Linked DNA regions of Notamacropus eugenii. The protein of the gene in region 1 binds, or shares a complex with, the protein of each later gene. Links are inferred from orthologs where the notes say so. Each region holds a gene or a part of one and is shown on either strand. Other genes may lie near its edges.

Region 1 (7,688 bases):
CTCATCCTAGATTCTCTCCACTCAAGCCAGACACACACAAAAAAACACAGACCTAAAAGAAACAAAAGGTCATTAATAGGTTGAATGAAGGAAGGAAAATGGGAGCTCTACTCTTGGAAGCAAGAGACCTGGGTTCTAGTCATTCCCACCCAACCACTACCATTTAACAAACTAATGGCCATAGGTAAGGCATTTATCCTCTCTGGGTTGCCTGATCTGTATAATGGAAATAACTTAGCTGTCTTAGGGTAGGCAGTACCTAAACCAGATCATCTTGAAGTCCTTCTAGCTTTAAGACACAAGATTCTTACTGAAAAACTGGCATAGTGAATAACTTGAAAACACAAGGGGCAGCATTTAGCCATTGTCTCTCACTACTTCTTTTTTTGCAGATGACAAATCAGAAGGGAGCCTGGTATAATGGGAAAAACATTGGATGCAGGAGTCACAGAATTGGGGTTTGAATATCTGCTCTGCTACTACTCTAAGATTTTGGGCGAGTCACTTAGCACTGTTGGATTGCAGTTTTCTCTTCTATAAAATAAGGGGTCGCAGTAAATGATGCTGAAAGTCTCTTCCAACTCTTATTCTAAATCACTAGCCCCAAACACTAACCCAAGTGGTGAAGCCAGGCACTTACCCTGAAGAGAGTCAGGGGCTCCTGAAAGCTGCTTCAGAGCAGGCTGTATTGGGTGGGAATGCCGTTTAGGCTGCAGCCTTACAGAGAGGCAATGAGGACAGAAAAGCAAGTTCTCCCCCTTAAAAACCTGTGGGGAGAACACGAGAGCCCTTTACCCCAAGGGGGCAAACAAAGAAAAACAGAAACACAGCTCTCAAGCCAAGGGGTTCCAAGCACAACTGAACTCCTGGGGAAGGCAGCATTCAGAGGGCACTGGGGAAACTCAGCTGGATTTTCTTCAAAAAAAGGACACAACCACACAGACACAAGAAACACATCTAGGCCACAGCCAGACAGGGGACAGCTAAACTATACCACCTGCTACTTGGGTCCCTCCCCACAATATTCTGCTGGGTGAACTGGGTTGCTCCCCTCCCACCAGGGCTCCTCCTCACTTGATTTTCCTGAACTCATCACAGTCACACAGGATCAGGTTCATGTGCTTGTCAAAGGCCTTGAAGGTGCCGATGAAAATGCGACCATCCTGCAGGATGCACCTCATCCTGTAGTCGATGTGCTGCAGCATCTTGCTGCTCTTGCCCACCGTCTGTGGGAAGCAAGAAAAAAGTGGCTAAGATACTAAAATCGGAATGCCTCCTTGACTCTACTTCTCTCTCAGTTACACTCCCAGAGGAAGACTAGCATAAAGGGAAGCAAACAAGGTTGGAGTCAGGGGACCTAGGTTCTAGACCTGACCTTGGATAAATCACTTCCCCACTCCAAACCTCAGATTCCTGCTCAGTAAAGTGGTTTACATGAAATTAGCTATAATGTTCTTTATAGTTCTTGCATTCTTTGTTCTAAGATTCCCCCAGACAACATTCTGATTCCTGAAACAGCCTTCTATCACCTCCATTTTTTAACAATGGATTTCTTCATTCTCCTTCCCTCCAGACCAAAAATAGAGGACTGGATGCTTGTGTTGTTTTCATACATAATCCAGTTATCTCATCTGACCTTCCCAAGAGTATAAAGACGTAACCAGTGCAAAGATATCTACCTCCATTTTACAGAAAAGGAAACTGAGGCTCAGTTGAATAGGTTAAGAGACTTGTCCAAGATAACACAGTAAGTTGGTGATGGAACTAGAACTGAAACCCAAATCATCTGACTGACAAACCCAATATCTCGGCTACCTGAGGGATACGTTAGCAACATTCAGCACACTAATTGGTATATAGTGCCCACTCAACAAATATTATTTTAAATGCATGAGAGAGGATAAGATGGATATAACAGAATGTAATTACACTGGGAAAGTAGGATTCAAATAGTGTTACGGGAAAAGAACTGATTTAGAGTCAGAAGATCTGGGCTCCTATTCTGAATCAGGTCTCACTCGCTGTATTTGACCTTAAGGTTGAGTTAGTGAGGCCTAGAAGCTAAGGGACAGTAGGTCCAAAATTGGGGGCCAGGATTTTTCTCGGGTGTAAAACGACAGAGATGCAGTAAATGGTAAAAAGGTTTAATTCTGACAAACCCCACCCCTTACACTCCCCATTCTTAACCCTCAGGCCCCCTTGGCTCTAATTCCTCTTCCAACCCATCCCCCTCCAGACCCCATCTAGTCCTCCAGCCCACCTCCCAGTGAGTCCTAAAAACCTCCCCACCTTTAACCTTTCCCAGGTTCCAGGACCTCCCACCTTAATCCCTCCGTCTCCCAGCACTCCCCCAGCCATCTTTCCCAAGGTCCCCATCCTGGCCCTGCCACCACTCCGCTCTCAGTGCCAACTATGAATGGCACTCAGAACCGTGACACACAATCACACACCCCGCCCCGAACCCGGCCTTCCTTCTGAACCCCCTCCTCAGAACCCCAGCCTCGAATGCTCTCCCCTCCCCCCTCCCAATCCGGGCCTCGTGCTCTCTCCCCTCCCCCTCCTCAGAACCCCAGCTTCCCAAGCCCTCCTCTCCCCCTCCCAATCCGGGCCTCGCGTTCTCTACCCTCCCCCTCCTCAGAACCCCAGCTTCGCAAGCCCTCCCCTCCCCCCTCCCAATCCGGGCCTCGCGTTCTCTCCCCTCCCCCCCCTCAGAATCCCGGCCTCCCGCGCCCTCCTCCCCAAACCTGGGCCCCAGCCCCCTGACTCGGCGGTCGACTGGCTGCGCCCCCCACTCGGGGCCATTCCCAGGACCACCCCAGATGGCTGCCCGGCCCTCCCTCACCATGGTGGCGGCTGAGATGGCCCCGGTTCGCGTCGGATTCGCCTCCGCCGGGCCTACAAACCGACGAAAACTCCAGTTCCCGCGCCCGCGGCCGGAAATGAGCCCTTGGCAAAAACGGTCCGGCTAGGGGAACTTCCGGCTGGGTGAACTTCCGGCTCCGCCTCCCGGCTTACGAGGCCCGTGTTCTTCATGTTCCGTCCCTATAGTTTTCCCCGGCACACTAGTTAGAACAGCTCGAATGAATGAAGCACTCCGCTGTTTATGAAACGCACTCAACAAGCGCCGATGTTATTGTGCGCCCTTTACGACTTATAAACTGAAGCTCAGATAGGTGAGGACTGGCCCAGAATCATGTAACTAGTGACCATCAGTTCTAATCATCATCACGAACCGGCACTTACGTAGCGCTTTAGTTTGCGACATGCCTGTCATTGTACACACAGGCAGCTCCGGGAGGCTGGGGAAACTGAGTCCAGCGAAGCTGAGCGACTGGCCCAGGGTCACGCAGCGGGAAAACGAACCAGAGCCGGAGTCGCTCTGACGCCAGGTCCGGCTGCCCAGGGTGGTCACCCCCCCACGTGTGCAGCTCAGACACCCGGAGGGCCTTGGCAGCTTCCTGCGGCCAGCTTCCACAACCGCCACGCTGTGGGAGAGGGGCCGGACGTGCCCGCCGTCTGCCACGAACGGAGGACAAAACCAGCCCGCCCGAAGCCGGGGCCATGCTCAGAGCAAGTCCGAGCACCGCCCAAGACCCCAGTGCGCCTCAGGATTGACAGCCTGCCCCCCACTCTACCCAGCCCGGCCCCCCAGGAAGCCACCCTTGTGGAGCTGCCAGTGGTCTGGCCTGTTCAAATGCCAAAAGGACGTTGACCTAAAGGACTATTTTTTCTATTTTTAAAAAAATTTTAAAGTTTTGACTTTTTTTTTTTTTTTTTACAAATTCTATCCCTCCTCCTTTCTCCTCCCCATTCCCTGAAACAGTAAGCACTCAGATTAAGGTCATATATATGCAATTATGTAAAACATATCCATATTAATCATTTTGTACAAGAAGACTCAAATAAAAGGAAAAAAATGAAAGTGAAAAAATAGCCTGCTCAAGTCTGTATTCAATCACTATCAGTTCCTTCTCTGGAGGTGGACACTGTTTCACTCTTCGGAATTGTCTTGGATCCCTGTATTGCTGAGAATGGCTGAATCGTTCACAATTCTTCATGGCACAGCGTTGCTGTTATCGGGTATCACCGGCTCCTGATTCTTTACTTCACTTTGCTGTGCATCACTTCATTTAGGTTTCTCTAAAATTATCCTGCTTGTCCTTTCTTATAGCACAATAATATTCCACTACAATCACATACCACAGCTTGTTAAGCCATTCCCCAATTGATGGGCATCCATCCCTTTGATTTCCAGGTCTTAGCCACCACTAAGAGAGCTGCTATAAATATTTTTGTACAAATAGGTCTTTTTCTTAAGAGACTATTTTATGGAGAACTCACATAAAGCAAGCTCTTACATGGAGGTCAGGAGGAACAAGGACACTCTCAAGGTCCCTCTGAAAAACTTTGGTTTTTGTTTGTTTGTCCTTTGTTGCCAAAGATGACCATGCCATCAGAGAAATGATGACATGACTTGCACTTGACTTTGTTTTGAATGAGGGAGGGCTGTGCAGGTCACCAGCCTCACTTCTCCTCCAGAGCCATCTGAATCCAGTGACAGATATTCATCAGGATGACTGGAGATGACCCAGGATGCACTGGGGGACCTTGGGCCTTTGATCTAAACTTTGGTATCAATTGTGAGAAAGAAGAGATACAGGTACAGGACTGCCTAGCATGAAGTGCCTGCATCAAAGAAGGCACTGTCTCTCTATAAGAAAAGCAGAATCTCAGTAGCATAAAGAAAACATGAGATGCATAAATCCAGAGACATCTCCATTCCAAATGTTCAAATGCACCATTTGTGCCAGATCTGTGGTTGAGCCTTCCGAGCTCAAATTGGTCTGATCAGTCACTGTCAGACACACTGTACCTTGACCTCAACACAGTGAGGTCATTTTGGTCCTCCTCAAAAACAAAGGACAATTACCTACAACCTTCCCTATATGTCATCTCCTCCTTTAGAATATGAGCTCCTAGAAAGCAGATAATGAATGCCTCATTGGTCTCCCCAACACTTTTTCATTCATCCTACTTCATTAACTTGCTAATTCAATTAACAATTATTTGTTAAGCAGCTATCCTTTGCATAGTTTGTCAGGTTATGGATGGAGATAAAAAGATAATTAAGACAAGGCCTTGTCCTAGAGTTTACGATCTAATGGTAATAAATACAACTTAAAATAAAAGACTGTTAGCTAAAAGGGACTTTAGGGATCAGCAAGCCCAATTCTCATTTTATATCAACTCTAACCTAACAGCTAGTTCTAGAGTTAGGTCAGTAACTATTGCTAAGTACTGGTCTAGAAATGAGACTTGGCATCTACTCTCAGCACTACAACTAACCCTCTATGTGATCTGGGACCTTCAGTTTCCTCATCTATAATTAGATTACATTAGATGACTTCAAAGATCTCTTCCAGAGCCTTACAGGGCTATGCAGATAATAGGGTCTTAAACAGTTGTTGAAAATGATGAGTCAAGAAATGGAAGAGAAAACTTGGGCTCCTATATACTAGTTCTGGAACTTATTAGGAAGCAAGCCTGGTCAAAGCACTTTACCTTTTAAGTTTTTTCCAGCTCTGACTTTGTATGTTCTATAGTCTAAAAGTCTCTTCAAATTCAAATATCCTGATTCTACCATTTAGTTTTCCTCCCTAACAGATGAGAACAAGCCACTGGTGAGAGGTAAAAATGGTAAATGAGAGTTAAAAGAGGAATGGATATGAAACATCACCTAGGAAACACTGCAAAGGTGAGCGGAAGGGCTTCAAGGGTATTGGGTATCTGAGAAGAAAAGTAAAGAGGAGATTGTCAAAGATAAACTTCCCCTATTGTAATGTTATCAAGAGCCACCAGAGTGATAGGAATTATTTGAGTCTGCCCTTTAAAAATAAAGGTACTTCAACTACAGCACAAAGAGCTTTCTTTTCTTCACAAAAGCTATTCCTGAGACTTTCTTTAACATCCCATTCAATCAGGTCTCCTCAGTGGTCTCCATTCACACTGTTTGAATTCCTCCTTTTCTCTCCTCACTATCCCTTTGTTCGTTCATATGGGCAATTTAGCACAAGGACAGTTATATAATGGCTTTGATGAAAAATATGTATGTCCCACTTTGGATGAAGACAGAGTAGTTGAGTTAGAAAACAAAATGAAAGAAGGTGGAGTTATTGATTACCATGGCTGTGACTTCTTCCCTCAATCATGGTTTCATAATAGTTTTTGTGCTTCAAACAGATAATTCTGTATTTTATACAAGACTTGAAAAGAGGGGATACAGTGTAAAGAAACTACAGGACAAGTTGCGGCATATAAATGTAATGGAATACTATTGTGTTGTAAGAAATGCTGAGCAGGCAGACTTCAGAAACACCTGGACTCATATGAACGGATGACGAGGGGGGCAGAACCAGAATATAATGCACAGTTCCAGCCACATTGTGCAGTGACTAACTTCGACAGACAGCTCTTCTCAGCAAGGTTCCAAGACAACCCCAAAAGGCTCAGGACAGAGAATGCCATCCACATCCAGAGAAAGAACTATAGAGTCTGAACGCAGATCAAAGCATGCTGTTTGCTCTCTTTTTTGTTTTGCTTCTTCTTTCTCATGGTTCATTCTGCTGGTTAGAATTCTTCTTTAAAACATGACTAATGTGAAAACATATTTAACATGCATGTATATGAGAGCCTATATCACACTGCATGCTGTCTTAGGAAGGGAGGAGGCAAGGATAGGGGAGAAAATTTAAAACTCAAAAGCTTGTGGAACTGAATGTTGTAAACTGAAAATTTTAAAAAAAGAAATAACAGGACAATATTTAGTAAAATTTTCCAAATTCTTTATGAAGAAGCCATGGCCTCCCACAACCATGAAGTAGTACACTGGCTGCCTAGCAATGTACCAGGAGAACTAGAGAATAATTTAGATCAGATAATGAAATGGATTGAGCAGATAATAACTGAACCTTGAGGGCAAAGCATGAACTTTCGAGGTTTTTCACATGATGATTGAAGATTTTCTTGATGATTACTCCTTCCCCATGCAGAAGAAATTAAAGACAACATACACCGAATTCCATTATCCAGGATTGTGTTATAGAAGTAGCAGGTGGACAATATATGAAGTTGAGCTATGACTAATTTTTTTTCTCCATGAGAAAACTAAAAACTCCCAAATACAATGAATAAGATAATGACTTTTTAAGTTAAGGAATATTCAGCATTCTCATTTATTTTGGTTAACTGCTAAAGAATAAGCAAATTTGAGAAAATAGGAGAAAAAGAAAATGAAGGCTTAGAAGAACTTCTGACTTAAAAGAGTCAAGGATAAAGCTATAAAAAACTAATAGGGAAAAGCAGGGAACTGAATCCATGGTTATCACAATGGAGGGAAGCATCTGAAGTCATCCAGATGAATAAAAAAGGAACAAAGGTAACTCAGATGTAAGAACTACTTCCTCTAGGACAGCCCACGTAACAGCCAGGGTGGTCTTAAGGGGTTTAAATTCTGCACTCCCTCCCAATGCTTCCAACAGGCACAGAAAATACCCAACAATAACTGCAGGTTTTTTTGCCCAAGAGTTTATTATGAATCAATTTAAAAGGAGCACACTTTATACAAAAAGCCCACAAAACTATATACAGCCTCATCTCAGAGGCAGCATCACAGCAGTTGAGGAATCCTA
Region 2 (7,517 bases), about 120 Mb from region 1:
AATTCATAGAAATCACATTCTAAAACCTGAATTTGAAGGAACCTATCTGTGAAATGAGATAGGTACTTTGAACATATCCTTATGATGCCAAATTCCATCGGGATGACAAAGGAGAAAAACAGCAGAATATATCCAATAATGAATAGTGTGTTAAAAATCTTAATGCTTTATGTATTGTAATCTAAGCAGATTTAACTTGGCATACAGTTTAGTAATTATTTGTTCAAAAATTATCATAAAAATAACATTAGCAAAAACATTCAAAATAAGGAAGAAATTACATAAAACTTTATCATTTAGTAAAATCAGACCAAACAAACTGCTGGTGCATATAAAGGAGGCAAAATATGCAGAGCCTCTTGTTGAGTATTTCATTCTAATTGGGATGTCTTCTCCCTGCTACCAATCTTGTTTAGAGCCTGAACATTTTAAAAAATTATCATTATGCTGTCATTCCTTCAGTGGATTGATTCTGGTTGAAAAACAGAAGAAAAAAGAAGATTTTACCTCTTTAGGCAAAATCTAACTGGCTAATGATTAATTAATAGTGACAAAATGAACGTCCCAAGAGGCCATGGACTACAGGAATTCATTACTGACAGAAAACATCAAGGTCAGTCTTAGCTATGCAGTCTTGATTAAATCACTTAAGGTTGCAGAGCCTCAGTTCCTTTATTAGTAAAATGGGGATAATTGGTAAAATTGGTAAAATGGGAGCTAGGCAGCGCAGGGCTTTGAGTGCTGGGTCTACAGTCAGGAAGATCTGAATTCAAATTTCACTTCGGACAGTTACTAGCCATGTAACCCTGGGTAAGTCACTTAATCTCTAAATTTTCACAACTGAAAAATGGGGAGAATAAGAGCACCTCTTTCCCAGGGTTGCTGTGAAGATCAAATGAGATAATATTTGGAAAGTGCTTGGTAAAGAACCTGGCACACAGCTGGCTCTTCATAAATGCTTGTCCCCTTCTCCCTTCTCTTGTACTACCCATTCCACAGAAGTTTTGTGAGGCAAGCAGTTTGTAAATCTTATATGTCAGCTATTAATAATATCCATGTTAGCCTCTCTAAACAAGCTCTCAGCCAACCAGCTTTATGGTTCACAGCACTCCCCTGAAAGGGCTGAAGTCTACTTTTTACTTACCTTTCTTTTCCTTAGTTTATAATCATTTAATTCTTCTTCATCTGTGATCTTCTGTTGAGGAGGTGGTGGCAGAAGCTCAAGCTCTCTTTCTTTAGCTTCCCTCAAAAGCTGTTCTGCTGTGATCTGTACTTCAGCAGGGGCTTTGTTTTTCACCTTAAAAATGAAATAGATTTATCTTTGGTATCTGCACTTTTACAAACTTTCAAATAACAACTATATCTGTAACTGTTATATGTGCGTATGTATACATAAATTTCTGGACCATATTACAAGATACTCTATTCAGCAGATTATGTTTGACTTCTTTATGAAATTATACACAATGCTTTACTGCTTGTAGCTTAGTTTTGTCTTAAGGGAGAGTTAGCAATAAAATGAAGAGCAGTATATACTTGTGGCTTAGCATAAAAATAAATTTGGATCTTGGAGGAAATACTTTGAATGTAATTTTGATATGATGTTTTAATTTCTTTTAAAAATATGTATCATATTTTAGTCATGTTAATAAAGAAACCTTGTTTACAGAATTCTTTTTCTTATTCCCCTTAAAGTCATAAATGAATTAAATGGTCTGAAACATACGCTTATGTCTAAAGCCATATTTAAAACAGGAACCAGAAGATGTGAGTTCACATACCACCTCTGCCACTTACTGTGTGACCTTGAGCAGGACCTCTGACCCTATTTCCCTTAGCTGTAAAGGGAAGATAATATCCACACTACTTCCATTGTGAGGATGAAATAACAGAACAATACGTCACACTTTGGAAACTATAAGCTGGAAGCAAATATATTTGGAAGATAAGCCTGATTAAATAGGAAATTACAACTGAATACTTTTAACACCAAGATGGTAGTTATACACTGAGTTTGGGGGAGGAGAATAAGATCACTTTAAATGGAACCTAACTGGTTTTCTTGTTAAGAAGATGAGTATGGGGAACAACGTTTTGGTTTGGTTGCAAACGTTCTGTGTAGTTTCACAGTTGGCAAGAGAAACACATGGAAAAAGGGTTTGAATCATCTCTTGTAATGTTTTAGACCTAAAAGCTGCTTCAAGTGACTGTATTTGTGATTTTAAAGGGTTGAAAACAGACTTCGTACTACAGAGAAAGTATCTATTGAGTATAATGGAAATAGATTTTAGAGCCCAAAGGCCATCATGTATTTCGCAATGTTTATATGCTGACTCCCCCCAGAAGAGTATTACTTGATAAAAGTGGGGCTGCTGATGCCAAAGAACCCACTGGGTGGGATTTACACACATGGCAAACCAGTAAAGCCTCAGTAAGTCAGTCCTTGCCTAAGTGCGGGGTCGCAAGCACTGGGCTTTAGGAGCTTCTTTCGTCAGAAAGTTCTTTGTGCTTACAAGCCATGATGAACACATTATGTGCTAATATCGACATACACTGAGGCTCAATGAACAGGTGCTTCCTACAGACACGGTATGACTCTAAAATGACTGCCCACATCGTCGAGCCCCCGGGCCGCGGGGGGCACGCTGCCTCCGGAGGATTCCCAGTCATACGTGCTTTCTTCCCATTCCCTTCCCGGATCCCGGGAAAAACGGTCTCACGCCCCCAGGGAGCTTGCTTTTCCTCTCCCCACGGGCACAGGGGCTAAGAGACACCGACAACAGCCCTTCCTTCTTCCCGCCCCCTTCGGCGGCCCCACGGCCCCACCCCTACCTTGGCCACTTTGGGGATCCGCTGCTTTCCGGCCGCGGTAGAAGCTGCCATGTTTTCGAGAGTGGGTCCGCGAGCCTTGCAGAGCCCTCTCCGATCCTTCAATCTCCAGGAAACGGCCCCCAAGCGTCTCCAGCCAGTTCAAGAAGCCCCGGACAACAACTCCAAGCCGGAACCGGAAGCGGAACTGTCGTTATCGAGGCGTGACCCTTCACCCTTACCGTCGCGTGACGGGAGGGACGCTGTTTCTATAGTAACCGGCCTTCGGCGTCTGTTCCCGAGTTAGCCCGGAGAGTGCTGTAGCTGGGGTGAGTCCAATTAAGAAGGGTTCATCTGTGTGTAGCGGAGGGGTTCACAGGGTATTCTAACTGTGGTTTGCTTTAAGTGGCTTAGGGCCAAGGGATTTGGGCGTCAGGGAGAAGCTTTACAGGTGTTCCAAGCAAAGGCGCCTTGCGCTGAAACATGGAACAGTGCCCGGTAGACTTCGGGGGAGGGGAAAAAGCACAGACTACCACTCCCAGAAGGCAAAGCAACACCACTGTGGAAACACGTTATCTCGAGATTGGCCGTGTTGCTTCCTGGGTCTTGTAGTCTCAGTCTCTTAGAGCCGCTTCTGTTTTGACCTGAGAAGGAGGAGAGTACCGGGTTCTAGCACGGAGAATTTAGGAAAATAGAGGAAAACGAATAAACATTTATATAGCGCCTCCTGCACTGTGCTAAGCGCTTTACAAATTTGCCTCATTTGGCCCTCACAGCTGATGGGGTTCAGACTCTGGGAACCTCCTTGAATCTTCCCACTTAACCTGGCCTTTCCTACTCAAATCTGTTGCCCTTGGCCTAGCCTGGCCTTCCATTGGCTGTTAACTCTAGATTGCCCCGCCTTGCTTCCCACCCAAGCCCTCCATTGTCTGATACCTCCTAATTGCCTCCAGCTGCTCCATCCTGTGAATCAGGTGCTGTTATCCACATTTTACAGTTGAGGAAACTGAGGCAAGGGAGGTTAGTTAAGTGACTTGCCAGAGTTACACTGGTAAGTGTCTGAGGCAGAATTTGAATTCAGGCTTTCCAGACTCCAGGTCCAGCACTCTATCCGTTGTTCCGAAAAATAACTAATAATACTTTAAAAGTTTTAAAAACCTTATCAGTTATTTTAAAAGTAGAGTTTTCCCCCATTAAAAGTATACAGCTATGCCTTTGGTCGTTGAGGCAGATGGAATATATTCCAACAAACATGGTATAATGCGGTTATAGTGAAGTTCATTTTTTGGCATCAGGGCTCTACAACAATTGTTGTTTCAGTCTTTCAGTCATGTCCAACTCTGTGACCCCTTTTGGGAGCTTTTCTTGACAAAGTTACTGCGGTGGTTTTCCATTTCCTTCTCCAGCTTATTTAACAGATGAGGAAACTGAGGCAAACAAGGTTGTGACTTGCCCAGGGTTACATGGCTAGTGTCTGACGAGTCTTCCTGACTCCAGGAGCAGCACTCTATTCATTGGGATACTTAGTTGCCACTTAGCACTATGCCACCTCTTAGTAAGTGCTTAATAAATGCTTCATGGTTGACTGATAGTGTAAGTTACTGGGAAAAGAAATTGAAATTGATTAAATTTAAATTGGTGGATTGGGATAATTTGTATTTCATTCATCTATTAACCCTTTCTGGTTAGCCAATACTTGCCTATACATATGCGCGCACACACACACATACACACATGTATTTGACTTAGCCAGTATTAAAAGCACCTTTGTTGTGCCCATTTTATGCATAGATAAACTGTATTTTAGATATGTAAAGAATTACCAGCGGCATAAGCACTGCCAACTAAGAAAAGGGTGGAATTAGGGGACAGAGGTTTCCAATTTACTGGTTTCCATGAAGAGCCTGACATTTCATTCACATGCCCCCTAGTGGTGGAAGTAGGGCATAACTTCAGAGATGAGTGTTGGACTGTCACTCTGAACCTCATCTTTCATCATGGAAAAGTATCAGATAGTAGAATAACAGCTATCGAATCTAATAGTGAAACATGTTATTATTCCTCTTCATCCACTCTACATTCTAGTCAAATTAACTTTCTTGATTTTCCTTTTCCTGGAACTCCATCTCCACCTCCATGCCTTTATAGGCTCTCCTCTGCCAGGAAAGCATTTTCTCCCTTGGAGGGTTCTTAGATACCTTCAAGTTTCCCTTGATGTGTTGCCTCCTAAGGGGAAGCCTTTCTTGATCCACCTAGTTGTTAGTATTCTTTCCATTCCATCCATTTGTTTGTGTAAATATTAATAAGCCTCCAATACAATAAATGTTCCTGAGGGGACATAGCTAGATAACAGTAGTATGTCTTGGGATGGTCTTGATGTTTTAGTGGAGTGTGAGCTCAATGTGACCAGCAGCCAAAAAAAGATGATGCCATCTTAGGTCATATGGAGACGTATAATGTCCAGAACAAGGAGGGTGTCAGCCCTGCTGTACTCTGTCCGTAACTTATTTAGATTCTTATGTTTTTTTCTTCATGTCTCTTTTTAGGGAGGGCATTGGTAAACTAGAGAATGAACAGAGGTGGATGAATGGGATGCCAAAGGGTTTCCAGATCATGATATGCTAATCAAAGGACTTGGAATGTTTCACTTGGAAAAGAAAAGACAAAGGAGTGGGATGATGACCCTCTTCCAAATACTGGAATCAGACTCATCATTCTCTAGGCCATAGAGAGCAAGAACTAGGAAGTTACAGAGAGGCAAATTTGGGGTTGAAGTAAGGAAAAACTTTCTAGTAAGGGAATTGATATAACTATAGTATGGACTCCAATCACATCATATTTGGGCAGCTAGATGGCAAGTTCAAGACTTGGATCCATAAGATATGAATTTAAATTTGACCTCAGTCACATACTAGCTGTGTGAACCTAGACAAGTCTCCTAAGCTCTGTTTGCCTCAGTTTCTTCATCTGTAAAATGGAGATGGCAATAGTACCTACCTTATAGGGTTGTTGTGAGGATCAAGTGTGATAATATTTATAAAATGCTTTGTAAACCTTAAGGGGCCTTTATAAGTGCTAACATTATTAATTGGAATCCTGCATTTTCTTTTGGGCAAAATTGAAAATTGATTTTAATTCTATTTTTGCTAAGAATTGATCAAGCTAGATTTAATATTCCCCTTTGAGATTCCTTTCCCTTGTAAACTCACCCATCACCCACTTTTCAGAGAAACTCAACCTAAAAGCTCAAATCTTGTCAATTTAAACTGTTAAAGAAGCTCCTATCACCTACACACTTATCCTGTCCTTGGAAGATCTGTTACCATTACCTGAGAACCTTTGTCATAGTGACTCAAATCACATATCTTGGCTGTGGTTAAGGGGTTTTCAGAAGGTGAGGTTCAAATGATGTATGTCATCCATACCCAGTCAAAAGACCACACCTATGTTGCTCCAGATTTTACCCTGTCATCATGCGAATTGTTATGAAAAACCCTGTCAAACCTCACTCAAGGTTTTTGATCATCAAGTGAGACCATTGCTCCAACTTATTGGTTACTGCTAGCCTATCTAGCTATTTGATTATGCTCAGAATTTCACACCTCAGTTCATCTTAATTTCTGCTATAACAATTAGAACTATCCTGAAGTGGATTAGACTGTCTTGGAAAGTAGAGGTTTGAAACAAAAATAATCATTTTGGATTTGTTGTTCAAGGGATTTTTGTTCAGCTACAAAGTGAACTAAATGGCTTCTGAAGACCCTTCCAGTTCTCAAATTCAGAACATTTTCCTAAATTCATATATGTGTGTGTATGTATGTATGTATATTATATGTGTGTATATATATGTGTATGCATATATACAGAGAGAGCGGGAGAGACAAATTGGATAATCTCAGAAAGATAATTGATAAATAAAAAGTTACCATTATTGCTATCAGCATTTTAAAAGACTTTTTCACTTTGGGTTTGACAGAAATAGCTATGATTTTTTTTATCTAAATGTAAATCTAAATAGACATAATATTGTTTAAACAAAGTTATCCCAAGGCAAAATCAATCACTGGTTTTCTTTCCTTTTTTATAAACTGGAAGCAGCAGTGAATTTCCCTCCTAATACTTGGATACATACAATTGTGGTAAATTAAATATACTGAACCAGTAAATATTTCATTTCAGTCCCTTTCAACAACTGCTCTATAACATTTGGGAGAAGTTTTACTGGCAACAAAGAATACAGTTGTGGCGCTTTCTAGACAGACCAATTCTCAGAAACTGTATGAGCCGATCGAGAAATGTGTCTCGTAGTTTGTGGTGACAGCTGATACAATGTACCCCCAGGGAAAATCAGCTAGACTTATGTGGAAAATATTGTATTCACTTTGTCATTTTGGAAACCGAATTAGTATTTAATATTATAAGTACTGTAAGCGAGACAGCTAATCATTTCAGATTTATAATGGAGTGTTTTCTCTTTTCGTGAAAGGGCATAAAATGACATCATTGACTTCTCCAAGAGGCAGGGAAGAATTTGTCCATTGCAGAAGAACAGAATCACAAGATATTTACTGTATTAAGACTCTCATCAGAAAATTTACAGAAAATCTTTTTGGGAGGATTAATATCATTTATCTTCTGTAAGTAATTTTACCATTATAGTTAATAAGCATTTGTTGAACATTGCCGTGGACTCTGCTCTGGGGGTGGGG
Region 3 (7,825 bases), on another chromosome or scaffold:
TTGATTGTTGTCTAAGCAAAGGCCCACCATCACTGAGTCAACACCACAAGCCAGTGCAACAAGGATTTTTGTGACCAATAACTTTTCTTTTTTCAATAGGAATACGCTCATAGGCATGGAAAGGCTAGCAAATTGCCAACAGTTCATGCAGCAAGCCAGCTTCCTGGGGCTAGAGCCTGGAAGGCCCTTAACAGACCACTCCTCTCTTTTCTAAGAAGGTCAAGAAACAGTTAGTAGGTGGTTAATTTGGATTCCCACTGGAAATGGGGGAAACATAAGGTGCCAGGTGCTGTGTGTACCAGGTGAGATGGCAGAGGTCACAATGGCCATCATTTACAACAGCAAACCTCCAAATCTCTGCAGTTTTCCAACGGTCCTGTTGCTCCTCATGACTTAGCTGAGATGGACCATCTTCCCCTTCCTGCCTTCTCCCCTTCCTCTCACACCCAGCATTGGGTTCAAATGTCACACGGCCCTTAGTGTCTGCCTCATTACTTTTGGGATTCTTCTCGGCTACATAATGCCTCTCTCTGCTCGTCTTTTCTCAAACCACCCTTAGAACGAACTGGGTAAAAAACTAGCGTGGTAACATGTGGCAATTTAGATAACCTTTCGCTTGAGTTTCCTCCAGAGGAGATTGTCTTCACAACTGATTCCTTCCTAAATGGAGGCTCTGATTTATTCTGATTGAGCTTCCAACTAGCACATCTAACTCCACGAAACCACAGCCCAGGTGGGAGCTAATTTATCTGGTTGGAAATTCAAAGAGGCAGTAATGTCTATGACAAAAGATACCATGGAATGGGAACTAAGAGGTATCAAGGTCATGTCCATACAAGGTTAAAATGAATGGATCCAGTTGAGACTGTAGGGATTGAGGTCCATATGTACTGGCAATGTAGGGGAGGGGTGGTGGGCTTTAACTGTTCCAAGAATTACCTGTGCGGAATATGAGAGGATAGTCAATCCAGTTCAGTAGGAACATAGGTAGAGGACTAGGTGAGAGTGAGAGTAATGAACTGCCTAGGATAGCAGTCTCTCTGTGGGGGGTATTACACACTGAGTAAGAATGAAGGTGTAAGGACACTTTGTATTAACCTCAAACATTAGCACCTCCACTCATTTCCCACAATGCCATTGGAATATGAGCCAGACCCCTGTAAGCCCAGTTCATAGACCTACACAGTGGATTCTCCAACAGCTATCCTTGGTGCATTTTGAAAGGACCGTTACTACCAACATTTCCAGGCCCAGAATACCGGCCAGGGATTCAATGACTTAAGTCCTAAAAATGAAGAGCTTTTTGGCACTGATTTTTCCCCCTCAATATTTCATTGAGATACTGTGATTATTCCTCCGTGAACTGTCTGAATGCTCAGTGATTAAAAATTTTTTTTGGAAAACTTATTTTTATTTAGACAAGAAACACTAACCAACCAAAGGAAGGCAGGCAGGCCCCTGTAATTTCCCCTTGTCTCCTTGGCCCCTGCCCCAAAGGGCCAAAGCATGATGATGGGCACTAACTAGGGGCTCTGCCAAGATGGCCTGAAGGCACAATGAGACAGACCCACAGACACCCCTCTGCCCAGTCTTGGGCCACATTACAATCCTCAGTCACCCCAGGAAAATGCAGATACTGGGTCCCTCTGATGGATGGGAGCCCTTCAGTCCTCTGCCACAGGCCCAACGTAGTGACAAACAGCGTCGTAGTCCAGTTGCAGGACAGTGCCCTCCCCCTCCTGCAGCAGCTGCACCAGAGCCCGGCTCTTATCCTTGTCTCTGCCCAGTAGCCGGCCCACCTGGCCCCGGTGGGGCCCCAGCACCACCATGACCCTGGCCTTCTCCTCCTTGGGGATGAGGGTCTCCAACATATCTTCTCGCAGCCCCTCGAGGAGCCGGCCCTCATCTGTCCTGCACACACACGTGTCCGGGCTCAGGACGTCTTCGATGATCATCTTGGTGTTGTAGTAGCGGCCCTTGTAGTGCCCTTTGTCCACGAAGCGCACTCGGAGGTCTCTGCGCAGCCAGTGGGGGGCCCGCTCCTCCGTGGGGGGCTGCTTCCTTTTCAGCCCCTTCTTTTCGGGGGCCCCTCCGTGGCCCGTCTTGGGGTCCCTGGCCCCCCGCAAGGTCTGCCTGTCATACTCCTGCCGGGAGACCGGCCTCAGGACGTGCTCGCTCAGGGTGGCCACGTGGCCAGCGGGGGCCAGCTTCACCACGGCCCGGGCGTTGTCGGGGTCCAACCCCTGCACTTGTCCGTAGAGGCCTCGGTGGGGCCCAGACAGCACCACCACGGCCCTCCCAGGGGCCAGGCCCACCAGCTCCTCGTCGTCCTTGGGGCTCCCGGGCTGGCTGGGCCCTGGGGGGCCCGAGGGCAGGACCAGGCTGGCCCCCAGCCCCAGCCCCTTGGGGCGCAGGGGGTTTTCCCGGGGCTTCACCACCTGCTTGAAGGTGCGCCCGATGCCCTCCCCCGGCTTCCAGCCCATGCCCCGGAGCATGGCCAGCCCGTAGGCCTCCACGGGCACCGCCTCGTAGTCTGCGCCCACCGACTCGGGAGCCTCGGCCGCGTCTCCAACCCGGGCCAGGAGCGGGATGGCCATGGAGCGGTCGGCGGCCTCGGCGCCCGGGCCCAGCTGCTCGGCCCGCTTTGACTCCTCGATCAGCTCCTCCACGGCCTGGCGGAGCACGCCGTCCTCAGGGAGCACGGCCTGGCCCGGGGCCGCTGTCCGGCCGTGGCCCCGCCGCAGTAGGGGGATCACCAGCTCCCGCGGCGCCTCCTCGGGCGGCCGCACACTGCGCAGCTCCCGCCCTTCCACGGCCCGCAAGAAGTCCTTTTCCTCCTCCGGCTGCCCCTCGCGGCCTTCGGCCAACCGTCTCCGGCTGGCCGTGCGGCTGAAGCCGAAAGAGACCGGGCCCGGAGGCCCAGGGGCCGCGGAGCTGGCGGCCCCCGCCTCACTATCCCCGTGCGCCATCGCGCCACCCGCAGCTTCAGGACTGACCTAGCGCTCAGCCTGCCGGGTCCTTTATGCAGTCCTTCCTCTTCCTGCTGGCTCGCGGGGCACGCTGGGTCTTGTAGTCTGCCTCACCAGTAGCGTCTGTTTGTGCGCGGTGGCTGCCGGACCTTGTAGTCAGTCACCGGTGGGGCTGTTTGCACTTGTCACCTTCTGGGTCTTGTAGTCCTCCATGCCTGCAGTTGCAGATTGTGCGCGAGGCCTGCTGGGTCTTGTAGTTCGCCCCTCCTGCTGCCAGGGTTTGCTCACTATGTCTTCTGGGCCTTGTAGTCGGCCCCACCTGCAGAGGCGGTATGTGCGCGGTGGATGCCGGGCTTTGTAGTTACCCTCCCCTGCACCCGTGGGGCTGCTTGCACTTGGCGTCTGCTGTTTGTTCAGCCTCCTCCGTTTGTTAGCGCGCGGTGGCTGCTGGGCCTTGTAGTCGCTCAATCCTCGTCTTGCATATGCTTGAACCGGGACCACCCGGGAGAACTTGATGCCCTTCCTTGATGTGTGTTTCAGAGGGTGGGCCACGAGCGGGGGACGGTGCACTAGGGAGAACAGTCTAGCCCATTTTCGACAAAGCAGTCTGGGCAAAGAAAGGCACCGGAGAAGGATGGCACGGTGTTGTCATACGCGCAGCCTGCCGGGGCTTGTAGTTTTCTTTCTCCACCTCCACCCACCCACGCTGGAGTCGCTGCGCATGCGCAGGATTCCTGCAAGGCAGGGTCCCCCTCCCCTTGCTGCTCTGGTGGTGGGGATGATGGGGGCCGGGTTGTGGGAGAACGCCTCGCCCTCTTCTCGCCTCTCTCTCTCGCCCTTCCCTCCTCCCCCCTAGGTGGACGATCCAGGTGGCTACTAGAGCTGCGGGCACGCCACGCCTCTCGGTGGTTTCCAGGCATTGGGGTGGGGGGAGGGGAAATTCGAGGGCGGGATTCGGACCCACCGCAAACCCAGCGCCCTCGGGGGCCTGTGTCTCCCCCACGCTGGACCAGCGGGGGAGGGTCTGCGCCCCCAATACCCCGTAGGCTGGTGGGGGGGAGAGTGTCCCCTGAATAACAACCAGGAGCCCTCCCCTATGATGTCACAGCCCGGAGCGTGGCCGTGCCCCGAGGAGGTTAAGGGGCCCCTGGCCCAGCCCTGTTGCCCGGAGCCATGGGTCAGGCTGGGCCGAAGGACGGCGCGTTCCCTTTGGATGCGAAGCAGACAAATGTAAAGAAAAGCTGGGGTGCAACTCTACCCTCTGACCTCCCTCCCAGCGCCCCTCCCCTCCCTCCGCCTAACGTCCAACTTTCTTATTTTCTGGGAAAAGCTTTGGATTCTGCTGGGTGAGAATGCCCACTCGGGCTTGCCCCCTGTCTAGACATTTCTGACTTTTGTTCCCCCTTCCCTGAAGGATATTTACTGCTTTAATGGCTCCATTCTGCAGACGAGTTGGTTCCTTTTACCCCTGGAAAGGTGACCATTGCTTCTTCCCTATCCCCGAGATCAACGCAGTCATCCATTTCGGTCGGGGCTCCCTGCCCAAGTCACTGCCTGTTTACCACCCCGCACAGCTGGGCTGCTCTTGAAGAAGAACCGTCTGCTAAGATACAGACTTCATCACAATGGTCTGGAAGCTGGACAGCTCCCTGCTGCAGAGCCTCCAGGAGTCTAACGTGCCAGACAGCGTCTGTTCCTGGTCTTACTTCCTTGTCTAAATAGCTGGTCGGGGCATTGCTATGCACTGCTGACCTGAAAACCTGGTTAAAGAAAAGGCAACAGGCTAAATGCGTACATTTCACGATTTAATTAATTAATTCCCTTTAAAGAAAACAGCGACAATGCATTATGGAGTCAGAAAAATATTCTGACCACTTGGTATAGAAATCTTCTGGCATATATATATTTTACCGTGAGTTACTGTGAGAAAGGAACTCTCTTAGTTGGACAAATTGTAAATTTAGTAAGATAATTAACAAAGTAGTATCAATTGAGTTGTATGATCCCAAGCTATGTGAATTTCCTATTTTCATATGTGTCTCTGACATAAGATAAGGAGAAAATCTCATCACTCTGATGGCAGACCTCCTGTCCTAAACAGGTCCTTGAAGTTGCTGACACAAGAAAGGGTATCTTAACAGAGTAGACAAAGTTGAAATTATAACCCAGGAATCTGTGTTTTTCCTTATCACTAAGATGCCAGGAAAAGGGTCTCCTAAGGAAATTACTAAGTCAGCCCTATTTGTTTCTCTGACAAAAAGACATTCTCTGAGTTTACTTAAGATAACAAGGGAGACTATTAGGTCCAGACTCTTCTTAATTCGAGCTTTGGCCCTTATTAAAGTCTAATATTTATAGTAAATATTATCAGCACTTACGGCTTAGATGATGTTTCAGATTCTAGAGTAGCCTTCAGTTCTGGGCAGAGTTCAGGGAGAGTTCAGAATCAGTTAGGTTCACTATTGGAACAAAACATTTGTCAATCACTTCATAGACAATTTAACAAGAGTTGTTGCTCTTATCATGGAAAGGCAGTACACACTTGTACAGAGGTGCTGGTTCTGGTCTCTGCTCTATCCTCTATTAACTGGAGCACCTTACTCTTCTCTTTGGGTTTTCATTTCCCCCTCTGGAAGTGAGTGTTGAATTAGAACGTTCTGGAAGGACCCCTTCATCTCTAACCTTTGGAGAGATGGCAGACTAGAAGCCACAATCAACCTTTGTATGAACATATCAGTCTGTTTGTTCATTATGCCAGGTTTCTGAGTATCCCCAAGCTAGGCAAAGACTTGAGGGTTCCAGTGAACATCATTGGGGAAGTAATCACAATTTCATTCTGCCCAAGGGTTGGGTATAAGGAAACAGAGCTAACTTCCATTTGGGAAGTGTCTGGTTGGTGGCTGATGTTCACTCTTCCATGTCCCAAGTTGTGTTGTAGGGTTTCCTTTCTACCCAAATGATGTGGTCCATGGGTACTTTATAATTGTCCCTCCCTTGCATGCTCTCCAGTCTTTACAGGGTCAGCTCAAAACCAGCTGTTTAGTCCCAGTCTTGACTTGCCATCCAGGAGTGTTGGGCAAGGAAGTCTTGGGTTCTGCAGTCTACCTGGATTTTTTCAGGGTTTAGGTAACATGAAATTCAAGACTTGGATGGTGAGGGTTTGAATCTCATTTTCCTTAACTGTAAAGTAGGTAGGATACCTATGGTACCTACTCCATACAGTTATTAAGGGCCTTGTCCATGACCCCACAGGTGGTGTGAGAGGTGGGTTAGACATCTGGATCACCTGGGCTTAGGTCCTTCACTTTCTCCAGTGCTAAAATGAGAAAGGAAATATAGCATCTTAAGACTGATGTTCAAGCTTTGGAGGCTCTAGGCTTCTGCCCTCTGTCAGCCCAGCCCTGAACTCTAATCTGCTGCTTTGGTTTGAATGGGGTCTCACTTTGTGAAGTTTTCTATCCTCTGTCAGAGACAAGGCCCATATCCTGAACACAAACTGCTAAGTCTTCAGCAGGCTGGAGGGGGAGACAGTTCATGTGACAATTATAGGGTGCTTAGGAAAACGGACTGTGGACCAAGTGCTGAGCAATGCTATCTCTCTTTAAAGTTTGCATGGCATTCAGAGTATCCAGAAGTGAGTAAGCTCTTCGATGGGGGATAGGACCACAAGCCAAATGAACGCTTGAAGAAGGCAGAAGAGTCTCCTTCTAGTGTTTGAAGGCCTGTCATGGAAAGATCAATTAGATTTGCTCTAAGCTGCTCTAGAGGGTAGAATTAGGGGCCATACACGGGTGCTGCAAGCAGAAAACTTTTCCCTAAACCAAACCCATACTTGGCTTGCAATGAGTTAGCCTAAATAGGACTGGGTTGTTTTGGGAGGTAGAAGGTGCCTCCTTGCCAACCATCATCTGACCCACTAATTAGGAGAAATGGTAGGTGAGGGACTTCTTGGTCAGGTACAGGTTTGCCTGGATGGGGACTTTGCCTGCTGGGTTTTTGTCATGCGTCCTTCGAACCAAAGTGTGTTCTCATGCCCTACAAAGGAAGCAGAATGGGGAGGGCTTTGATTGCTTTCTCTCATATTTACAATACTCATGTTGTCTGAGCTGCTGGAAATGAGAGATCCAAGCAGGTGCTATCTCTGACTTTCCAGTTGAACTTAGATCCTTGGCTTTTGTTTTTCCCAGGCTTTCTGAAAGAGAAGCTGGAAGTGCAGGGATCAGCTCTTGACTCTGAGACCAGCTTACTCCTCCCATCTCCTTTTGGACCCCAGGAGCTGAAAAGGGGCACAAGACACTGAGAAACAAAGTCCAGCTTTTTTCTGCTTCTCAAGAATTTATGCAACTCTATTGGAGAGACTAGGGAAAGCCTATATTGGAGAGGCCAGAGAGAATTGTGAATCTTCCCTTGCTTGAGGGAAAACATCTCTTTTAAGATGATGGGTAATTTTTCTCCCTTCTCCCTAAACCCACCTAGAAAATGCTGTGTCCATCTCGGGAGAAATTCAGATCATTTCTGAAGATTTTGTCCAATTTCCTTTCTATAATTCCTAGGGATGAGATCTTCACTTGGTTGGTTGGTTGTTGTCCTTCACCTTCAAAGAGGACCAAAATGACATCACCATGATAAAGTGAAATTTCAGTGTGTCTGACTGTGGCTAATTAGACCAATATGAGCTCGGCATGCTCTACCACAGGTTGGGCACAGATAGTCCATGTGAATATTTGGGGTAGATATCCCAAATTTTCACTTAGATAATTCAAATGTGTAACCTTGCCAATTATCTGAATCTTCTGGAACATGATGACTATGGATGAATTTGGGGACACCCCACTATAAAGCAATCTGACATAACA
Region 4 (7,098 bases), on another chromosome or scaffold:
AAGCAGAACCAAGAGAACAATTTATATAATAACTGTAATATTGTAAGGATAATCAGCAATGACTCTAATCAATATGACAAAACACAATTCCAAAAGATTCATGATGAAATATTCTATCCCTTTCCAGATGGAGAGAGATAATGGCCTCAGACTGCAGACTGAGCCATATTTTATTTTATTTTCTCTCTCTCTCTTGGATATGACTAATGTAGAAATTTGTTTTGTATCACTATATACATATGTAACGGATTTTATTTTTCTTGACTTCTTAACAGCTAGGGAAGTGTAATACAGAGAGAAATTGGAACTGAAAAATAAAATAAAATAAAATTGAATTTTAAAAAGTTTACAGTGTTGGGGAGGAATCCAGTCATCTTTTGTCCCTAATACATCAGAGTTATCTACTTCTGTTCCTCCCATCTCAGAAGCAACTCCTAGTAATCTTTCTGAGCATTCATACCCAAAGTCTATTATGAATTACTACTATGAGATCATATAGTTTGACCATTTATCATTTGGAGAATGGTTCTTATTCTTGAAAATGTAACTCAGTTCCCTATGTGGGAACCTATGGGATTTCTCCTTCCCATCTTCTCAACCCTTTGCCAATCCTTTGTCTTCACATCTTTTTTATTACTGAAAGCATTCCTTTAACAGTTATCATGCATCCACTGTCCTAGGTGCTGGAAGACAGATGTCTTCACTGAGTTTTACAGTTTGGTAACAAATGCCCCAGGTTTTATTCTACCTTTTTCTCATCCATCTTCCTCTTCCTCTAATTTCCTTGTTCTTCTCTAAAAACTGCCGCCACTTTCCTACCTCCATCTTCTTGTTTCACCTCTCTTCTATCCAAAATTACCTGTTTCTCTGCCGCCGACAGCAACTGTTATAATTTGGGGCTCTTCGTAGGGCACTTTGGGTGATCAGACGGGTCTGGGCCAGCAGAGGAGCCTAATGCAAAGCAGAGGTCAACAAATGCTCTCAGACCTAGGGGGAACAAGATACTTCACAGCTCCCAGGATGAGAGTTCTACCTAGGAGAAACCTCCCTTTCTCACTTACCTGGTCCCCTATCTTCTCAGTTCTCCTTTCTTCCTGCTGTTTTGGATTCTGTTCTCCTTTCCACTGATGCTTCTTACCATAGAAATCTTGCAGGCCTGGTGGGGAAGAGATACTCAGCATGGCTCGGGAAGGCTTTGTCAAGTTAATGTCCTGCTTTTAACCCTTTAACTTACTGGCCAGGTGTCTCTTCCCTGCACGGTGAGCAGTCAACATGGTCAGTGTGTCCAATACAGGCCGGTGGGGACAGACAGCACAGGCAAATCTTGAGGGGAAAGATGGGTGAAAGAGTTGCAATAGCCTCGGGAACCCTTGCTTTTGGTCACCTCAAGGCTATTCTTTCCTGCTCCCTTCCCAGGTCTTCCTACCCTTTTGCCAGTGCACACCTCTTCCAATCTCCCCCCATCACCCACCACTCTCTCTCTCCCTCTCCTGGAATCCAAGGCTGAATCAAGAATTGACATTTTCTTCTCATCATCCCCTTGTTTGTCTCTTCAAGTTTGATGTCTCCTAGACCTCACCGTCCATCTCGAAGCATCAGTGCCTCGTCTTCTGGGATATAACTGGCCAGCAAGTCCCCAACTCTCCGCTTCTAGAAAAGGAGAAGGCAAAGTGTGGTCCAGTGCTGTAACCAGGAATTCTGGTGCTGATGATAAGATAGTGGGTGTGAAGGGAAGAAACTGAGGGGGAAGGCCTCCTGGGAAAGAAGTTGGATGGGACCAGTCTATTGATGACTTTATTTTTCCAGTGAAGGTTTTGAGATCCCACCTCAGAGTGGTCACCACTCTCAGTGGGCCATGCTTAGGTTTCCTGTAAGCCACAATGAGGCAAGGAGGGTAAGGCTTATCTCCAGGGAACCTGTGGTCCATGTCCTGTCTCAGCCGAGCCTCCAAGTCTTCTGACATCCCAACTCCTTACCACTGCCAAGGGTGGTGGAAGAGGAAGAGAAAGGGTTCTACCTCAACCCTGGGATGGAGGGTCCCGGGGCAGGGCGACAGTGCTCTGGCTGTTTCTACATTTGATTCCAGCAGCTCGTCTGTGACCCGCTCCCAAATATTGATCCATAATCAATATATATATATATGAATACATATACGGGCCAGGCGCTGCGCTAAGCGCTGGGTACACAAAGATGGAAAAACCCGTGCTTGTTCTCAAGGAGTCTACAATCTAATAATGGGGGAGGAAAACACACAAAAAAGCTGAGAAGTGGGGGGGGGGGGGCGTATGGAAGAAGCCCCACATGAGAGCAAGCTGGTGGGAAATGAGATGTCTATGCGATGGCCCTTCTCCTCCTCCAATGGACAAGTTTGGAGTTCGCCCCTCTATCTGCGGGGCTGGGGGATCTGGGGGGAGGGGAAGCAACCAGGCCCAATGGACCTTGAAACATAAATGAGGTTTCTGAACCAGAATTTTACTGAGGGCACGGCGGAGAAGTCAGAGAGCGCCGAACTGAACGCTGGAGACCCCCCTCCTCCCCTCCGATCCCTTCCTCCTTCCCCTCCCCCACCCCACCCTGTATGGCCCCGCCCCTTGGGGGGTTGCCGAGGCAACGCGTGAGCCTCATCTCAGGGGCGACAACTACCCCCCCCCCCCTCTCCTCACCTTGAGCACATTGAGCTGGCTCCAGTCGTCCCCTTCCCTCTTGAAGGACATGGTTTCTATCACAGCCCTCCACCACAAAATATAGCGACTCCACCACCTATTCTTCAACGCCTTCACAGTGACCGTAGCTTCGACGGGGGCGGAGCGGAGAGTTATATTTTTTGGTTGGTTGATTTCTTACTTCCGTGGCGTATGCTTCCGGGAATGCGAGAGCATCCTGCCCCGCAGCTCCTTCTGATTGGCCTCGCGGAAGGACTACACTTCCCAGGATGCCTTGGAGCCCCGCGGCTCTCTGGGAATTCAAGTCTTTCTCAGTATCTCCAGAGCCCTGGGGGGGTCTGTAAGGCCCCTTAAACTGGAGGGTTCGGGGCTGTCTCCTGGTTCCGGATCCTGCATGAGTGGCGTGAGCTTCCACCCGGGGCGGGGTGGGGAGCTGGCCCAGCCGTGCTCGCCAGGACTCCTCTAGGCCCCCAGCAGCTTCTCACTCCTCGGCTGCGGGCAGCGACAGAACCGGCTGCTGTAGATCTCGGCGCCTGGGCCTTGGACGGGAGGGGCGGGGCCCTGCATTCGGGCTTGACCGGGACGGGAGATCCGCAGCCCGAAGCGGGAGTAGGCGGCCTATGGCGAAGGCAGGCCCCCGGGATCTGGGCTGAGAAAGGCTCCTCGAAGGTCAGGGGTCAGAGGGCGTTAGGGTCGGAGGTCAGGACCTGGGCTGGGCCGGCGAGGCCATGGCGTCCCCCTCCCGTCAGGCGTCCCCGGGAGGCTCGGGACTCCTGCGAGGGAGCCGGGCCCGGTCTTACGGCAGCCTGGTACAGTCGGCCTGCTCTCCGGTGCGCGAGCGGCGCGTGGAGCACCTGCTGGAGCCCGGGGATACCCTGGCCGGCCTGGCGCTCAAGTACGGGGTGACGGTGAGTGGGCGGAGGGCACGGCGGGGGCACCTTCCGGGAGGGCTTACGTGGACTACTCTCGCGGCTTCCCCTGGATCCCGGGGCTGTGGCCAGTGGTGTTCAGAGCTTGAACTGTGTTAGACCGGGACTATTGTGATCCTCACTTTACAGATAAGGAAACTGAGGCTGGGGCACATGAAGTGATTTTGGCCGGGGTCTCCCCGCTAGTAACCGCCAAGGCCCGATTTGAACCCAGGTTTTCCTGCTTCCCCACTTTCACCCCTTTTTGCAGTCTCTGGTCCCCTGCCCTCCAGTGTCTGAGGAGGAGGCCCGAAGACCCCCCCCGGGGTGTGGGGAGGTGCACCCGGTTGTCCGACCGGCTGGCGACAGCTGGAGTGTGTGGGCGTTTACCACCAGATTTTGGCTTGGAGCTAATCATCTGGGGATCACAAAACACACACACCCCAGAAGTATCCACGGTCCAGGAGAGCATACGGAGCCTTGGCTAATGATCAGTCTGTCCAGACTCTAACCTCTGGACCTTAGTCAAACAGGGATGTTCCTTTCCCTCCCCCTATGGGGAGACAACTGTATCATATCGTTGTGAAATCTTTATAAAATCTAAAAACAAAATGACAGCTTGTATGCCCTCCCAATTCAAGATATTATTAACTTTGGTGTTATTCAGAGTTCTCTGGTTTTAATAATAATAGCATTTCTAGAGCATTTTAAAACTCTTAGAACTCTCTTATCCCTTTTGATTCTCACAACAACTTTGTGAATTAGGTGCTGTGTTAACCTCATTTTACAGATGAGGATCAGAGACCCAGAGTGATAATGTGACTTCCTCAGGGTCCCATGTCTGATAAGTGACTGAGGCAGAATTCAAGTCAGGTCTCCCTGACTCCAGCGATCTGTTATTCAAGTTCATTAGGATAGTTTTGTGCTAGGATAGAAATATCTTGGTTACATCTCAGGCTTCAGTAGCTGGACTGAATGGGTCCCTCCTAACACGAACATTCTTAGAGACTTTGATTCTGAATGCTGTCTTCCCAATGTGTTATGCCTCAGTTTAACCAAGATATATTATCCAAAAATGCTGACAAATTCATGTAAACATTAATAGTGCATATTTCAGGGTTCCTGATTTATTAGTAAGGACTCCTGAGTTTAAGTTTGTCACTCATTTTTTCAGTGTTCTTAGGCAAGTCATGATCTCCTAAGTAGGCCTCAGTATATTCATCTATAAAACAAGGATGATACTGCCCTCCCTATTGCTCAGGATGGTTGTTAACACCAAATAAAGAAATGGATTTTAAAATGTGAAGTATTATAAAATTGGGAGCTGCATTACTATTGCTGTTATTAATCTGGTGTCCCTACCTTTTTTCCCCCCAAGATGGAACAGATTAAGCGTGTTAACCGTCTTTATACTAATGACTCCATCTTCCTCAAGAAAACTCTCTATATTCCTATCCTGATGGAACCCCGGGGATTATTCAATGGGCTAGATTCTGAGGAGGAAGAAGACAAAGAGAAAGAGATGCCATTGAGTCAAGGTGGAGCTGAAGCCCCCTCAGCTTTGAGGAAAAAACAAGAGGAAAAAGCCAATGGTGAAGGCCTTTCCTCCAGATGTGGTCAGGACCTCCCTAGACCCAGCCATGACCTCTCTGCCACTGACTTCCTCAAGAAGATCGACTCACAGATCAGTTTGTCAAAGAAGGCTGCCGTCAGGAAGCTGAAGAAAAGCGAGAGTGGGTAAGTCTTGGGCATTTCTGAACAGCCCCTCTGACCTGCACCAGAAGCCTTTGATCTAGCAGAAAGAGCACAGAATTGGGCATCAGGAGATGGGAAGTCAGGCCTTGGTCCCAAAACACTGCAGGACTCCACACTCTTTCTCTTGAAAAATCAAAGACTTGGGTTAGATGTGCTCAAAGGCCCCTTCCAGCTCAAAATTTGAATTCCAGTTGCAACGTGAGCTAGCCCCTGCCAGAATACATCTATGGTGGACGGGGGCTTATGATTTCACGTTCCTCTTACTGCTCTGTCCTTCCAGGGGCAAGGCAAGTTGAGCCTTGGGCAGACTTGGCAGCATTACCTGGGCAGCTTGCTACAATCCCTCTCTCTATTTAGTTCACACACCCCCACCCTAACCCCTACCCCTTCAAATGAGAAATCTGTACCATGTTTGGCACATTTCCTGGCACATGTGCTTCATAAGAATTTGTTCTTTCCTTGCCTCCTTTCCTGATCACTTTTCCCTTTGTCTTTACCTGCAGTGTACCTGGGGAGGATGTGCATCCCCATTTGGCTTCCCCTCGAAAGCAGCAACGGGCAGTATTGGGCCCTGTACCCCTGACTCGAACCACAAGGGCAGCCACCTTACGGGACCAGGAAGATGAAATCTTTAAACTCTGATACCCCCAAAACTGTTGGGAAAAGAGAAGCAGTAAAGGAGAAGCTGTCTGATGGGGTGAAAGTTGAGGATCCACTATCTCATCCCATCCCCCTGACCTGGCCTTGTCATATCAGGGACTATGGGGCTATGGGAGGAATTGTAGGCAAGAATGGAAGGGTTGAGATTAGATCCTTTCCGAACTCTTGTGACTAGATCTTGGGATCTTTTAGATTCAGAGAGCTCTGTCTATCCCTTTCCTTCCTCTCTCTGGTTCCTGTCACAGTTCCTTGGCCTTACCATAGGGTGGAGTGATCTCTAGAAGCTGTCCCCCCACTCCCTCCCACCCTCCTTTCTAATTTATTTGGTGCTATTTTGGAATCCTATTTATTAGCTACATTTTGTTCTAGCAGGAGATGGGAGTCCTCCCAGCTCTCGGGATGGTGGCTAAGCAATGATCAGCCATGATGGCTGCTCCTGTAGTCCTCTCCCATCTAAGGAGCTCTGGGGACCGTCAGTAGTGTGGGTATGTCTGAGCCCCAGCCTCTGCTGTGCAGCACTGAGGTACTAAGCCAGCTTCCCTAGATGCTGTACCAGCTTTCTCCCCCAAATCAGGAAGTGAAATGCTGGACTTGGCCTTGACGTGACTGGTCCTGTTTTTCTTTCTCATGGCTCAGGAGATTAGAGATTTTGCTCATCCTTTCCCTCCATGCCACTTTTCTGCCCTATTCCACTGAGATTTATATTGGGGTAGATAGAGAGATGGGAGCAGTGGCCACTGGCCACCTTGATGGATAGTCAGTGAGTTTAGGATTTAAAGAGCAGGCCTGACTACCTGTGTTCTGCATGCGTGTGTGTGTGTGTGTGTGTGTGTGTGTGTGTGTGTGTGTGTGTGTGTGTGTGTGTGTGTGTACGTACACCCCTTTCCCCCCTACACATACTGAGCACTGGAGGGTTTTTTCGTTGCCTCCATGACCTGGTTCCTTTCTTTCTCTCCATTGAATATTTATTTGTGGTTTGTAGCACCAGCTTGAGGTGTACTTTTCTCTTTTTGAAAAGAAAACAGCATAGGGAGGCTCTTTGGGGCTAAGAGTCTGCCTTATTTTGTTATTTAATGTTGGATGTAGAGGAAAGTAAATGTGTTTTCCCACTC

The links.
Region 2: SNRPB (region 1) and CRNKL1 share a complex: the UniProt entries of both Homo sapiens proteins name them as parts of the minor spliceosome. The link is inferred for Notamacropus eugenii from reciprocal best matches to the Homo sapiens genes SNRPB and CRNKL1.
Region 3: SNRPB (region 1) and GPKOW share a complex: the UniProt entries of both Homo sapiens proteins name them as parts of the minor spliceosome. The link is inferred for Notamacropus eugenii from reciprocal best matches to the Homo sapiens genes SNRPB and GPKOW.
Region 4: SNRPB (region 1) and SCNM1 share a complex: the UniProt entries of both Homo sapiens proteins name them as parts of the minor spliceosome. The link is inferred for Notamacropus eugenii from reciprocal best matches to the Homo sapiens genes SNRPB and SCNM1.

Annotation. Positions count from the first base shown.
Region 1 is NC_092872.1:476,069,022-476,076,709, reverse strand, and holds the start of SNRPB (small nuclear ribonucleoprotein-associated proteins B and B'), read right to left. Parts: upstream 3,002-7,688; 5' UTR 2,846-3,001; coding exon 2,843-2,845; intron 1,227-2,842; coding exon 1,075-1,226; intron 1-1,074. Other genes in the region: small nuclear ribonucleoprotein-associated protein N, read right to left, coding at 7,686-7,688. UniProt on the Homo sapiens protein: Plays a role in pre-mRNA splicing as a core component of the spliceosomal U1, U2, U4 and U5 small nuclear ribonucleoproteins (snRNPs), the building blocks of the spliceosome.
Region 2 is NC_092872.1:595,317,734-595,325,250, forward strand, and holds the start of CRNKL1 (crooked neck-like protein 1), read right to left. Parts: upstream 3,019-7,517; 5' UTR 2,884-3,018; coding exon 2,833-2,883; intron 1,298-2,832; coding exon 1,145-1,297; intron 1-1,144. Other genes in the region: CFAP61 (cilia- and flagella-associated protein 61), read left to right, coding at 7,303-7,445. UniProt on the Homo sapiens protein: Involved in pre-mRNA splicing process. As a component of the minor spliceosome, involved in the splicing of U12-type introns in pre-mRNAs.
Region 3 is NC_092876.1:17,503,477-17,511,301, reverse strand, and holds the start of GPKOW (G-patch domain and KOW motifs-containing protein), read right to left. Parts: upstream 3,002-7,825; 5' UTR 2,970-3,001; coding exon 1,665-2,969; 3' UTR 1-1,664. UniProt on the Homo sapiens protein: RNA-binding protein involved in pre-mRNA splicing. As a component of the minor spliceosome, involved in the splicing of U12-type introns in pre-mRNAs.
Region 4 is NC_092873.1:305,006,683-305,013,780, reverse strand, and holds the start of SCNM1 (sodium channel modifier 1), read right to left. Parts: upstream 3,019-7,098; 5' UTR 2,715-3,018; coding exon 2,664-2,714; intron 1,651-2,663; coding exon 1,580-1,650; intron 1,324-1,579; coding exon 1,235-1,323; intron 1,157-1,234; coding exon 1,062-1,156; intron 952-1,061; coding exon 860-951; intron 1-859. Other genes in the region: LYSMD1 (lysM and putative peptidoglycan-binding domain-containing protein 1), read left to right, coding at 3,392-3,571, 4,950-5,308, 5,830-5,968. UniProt on the Homo sapiens protein: As a component of the minor spliceosome, involved in the splicing of U12-type introns in pre-mRNAs. Plays a role in the regulation of primary cilia length and Hedgehog signaling.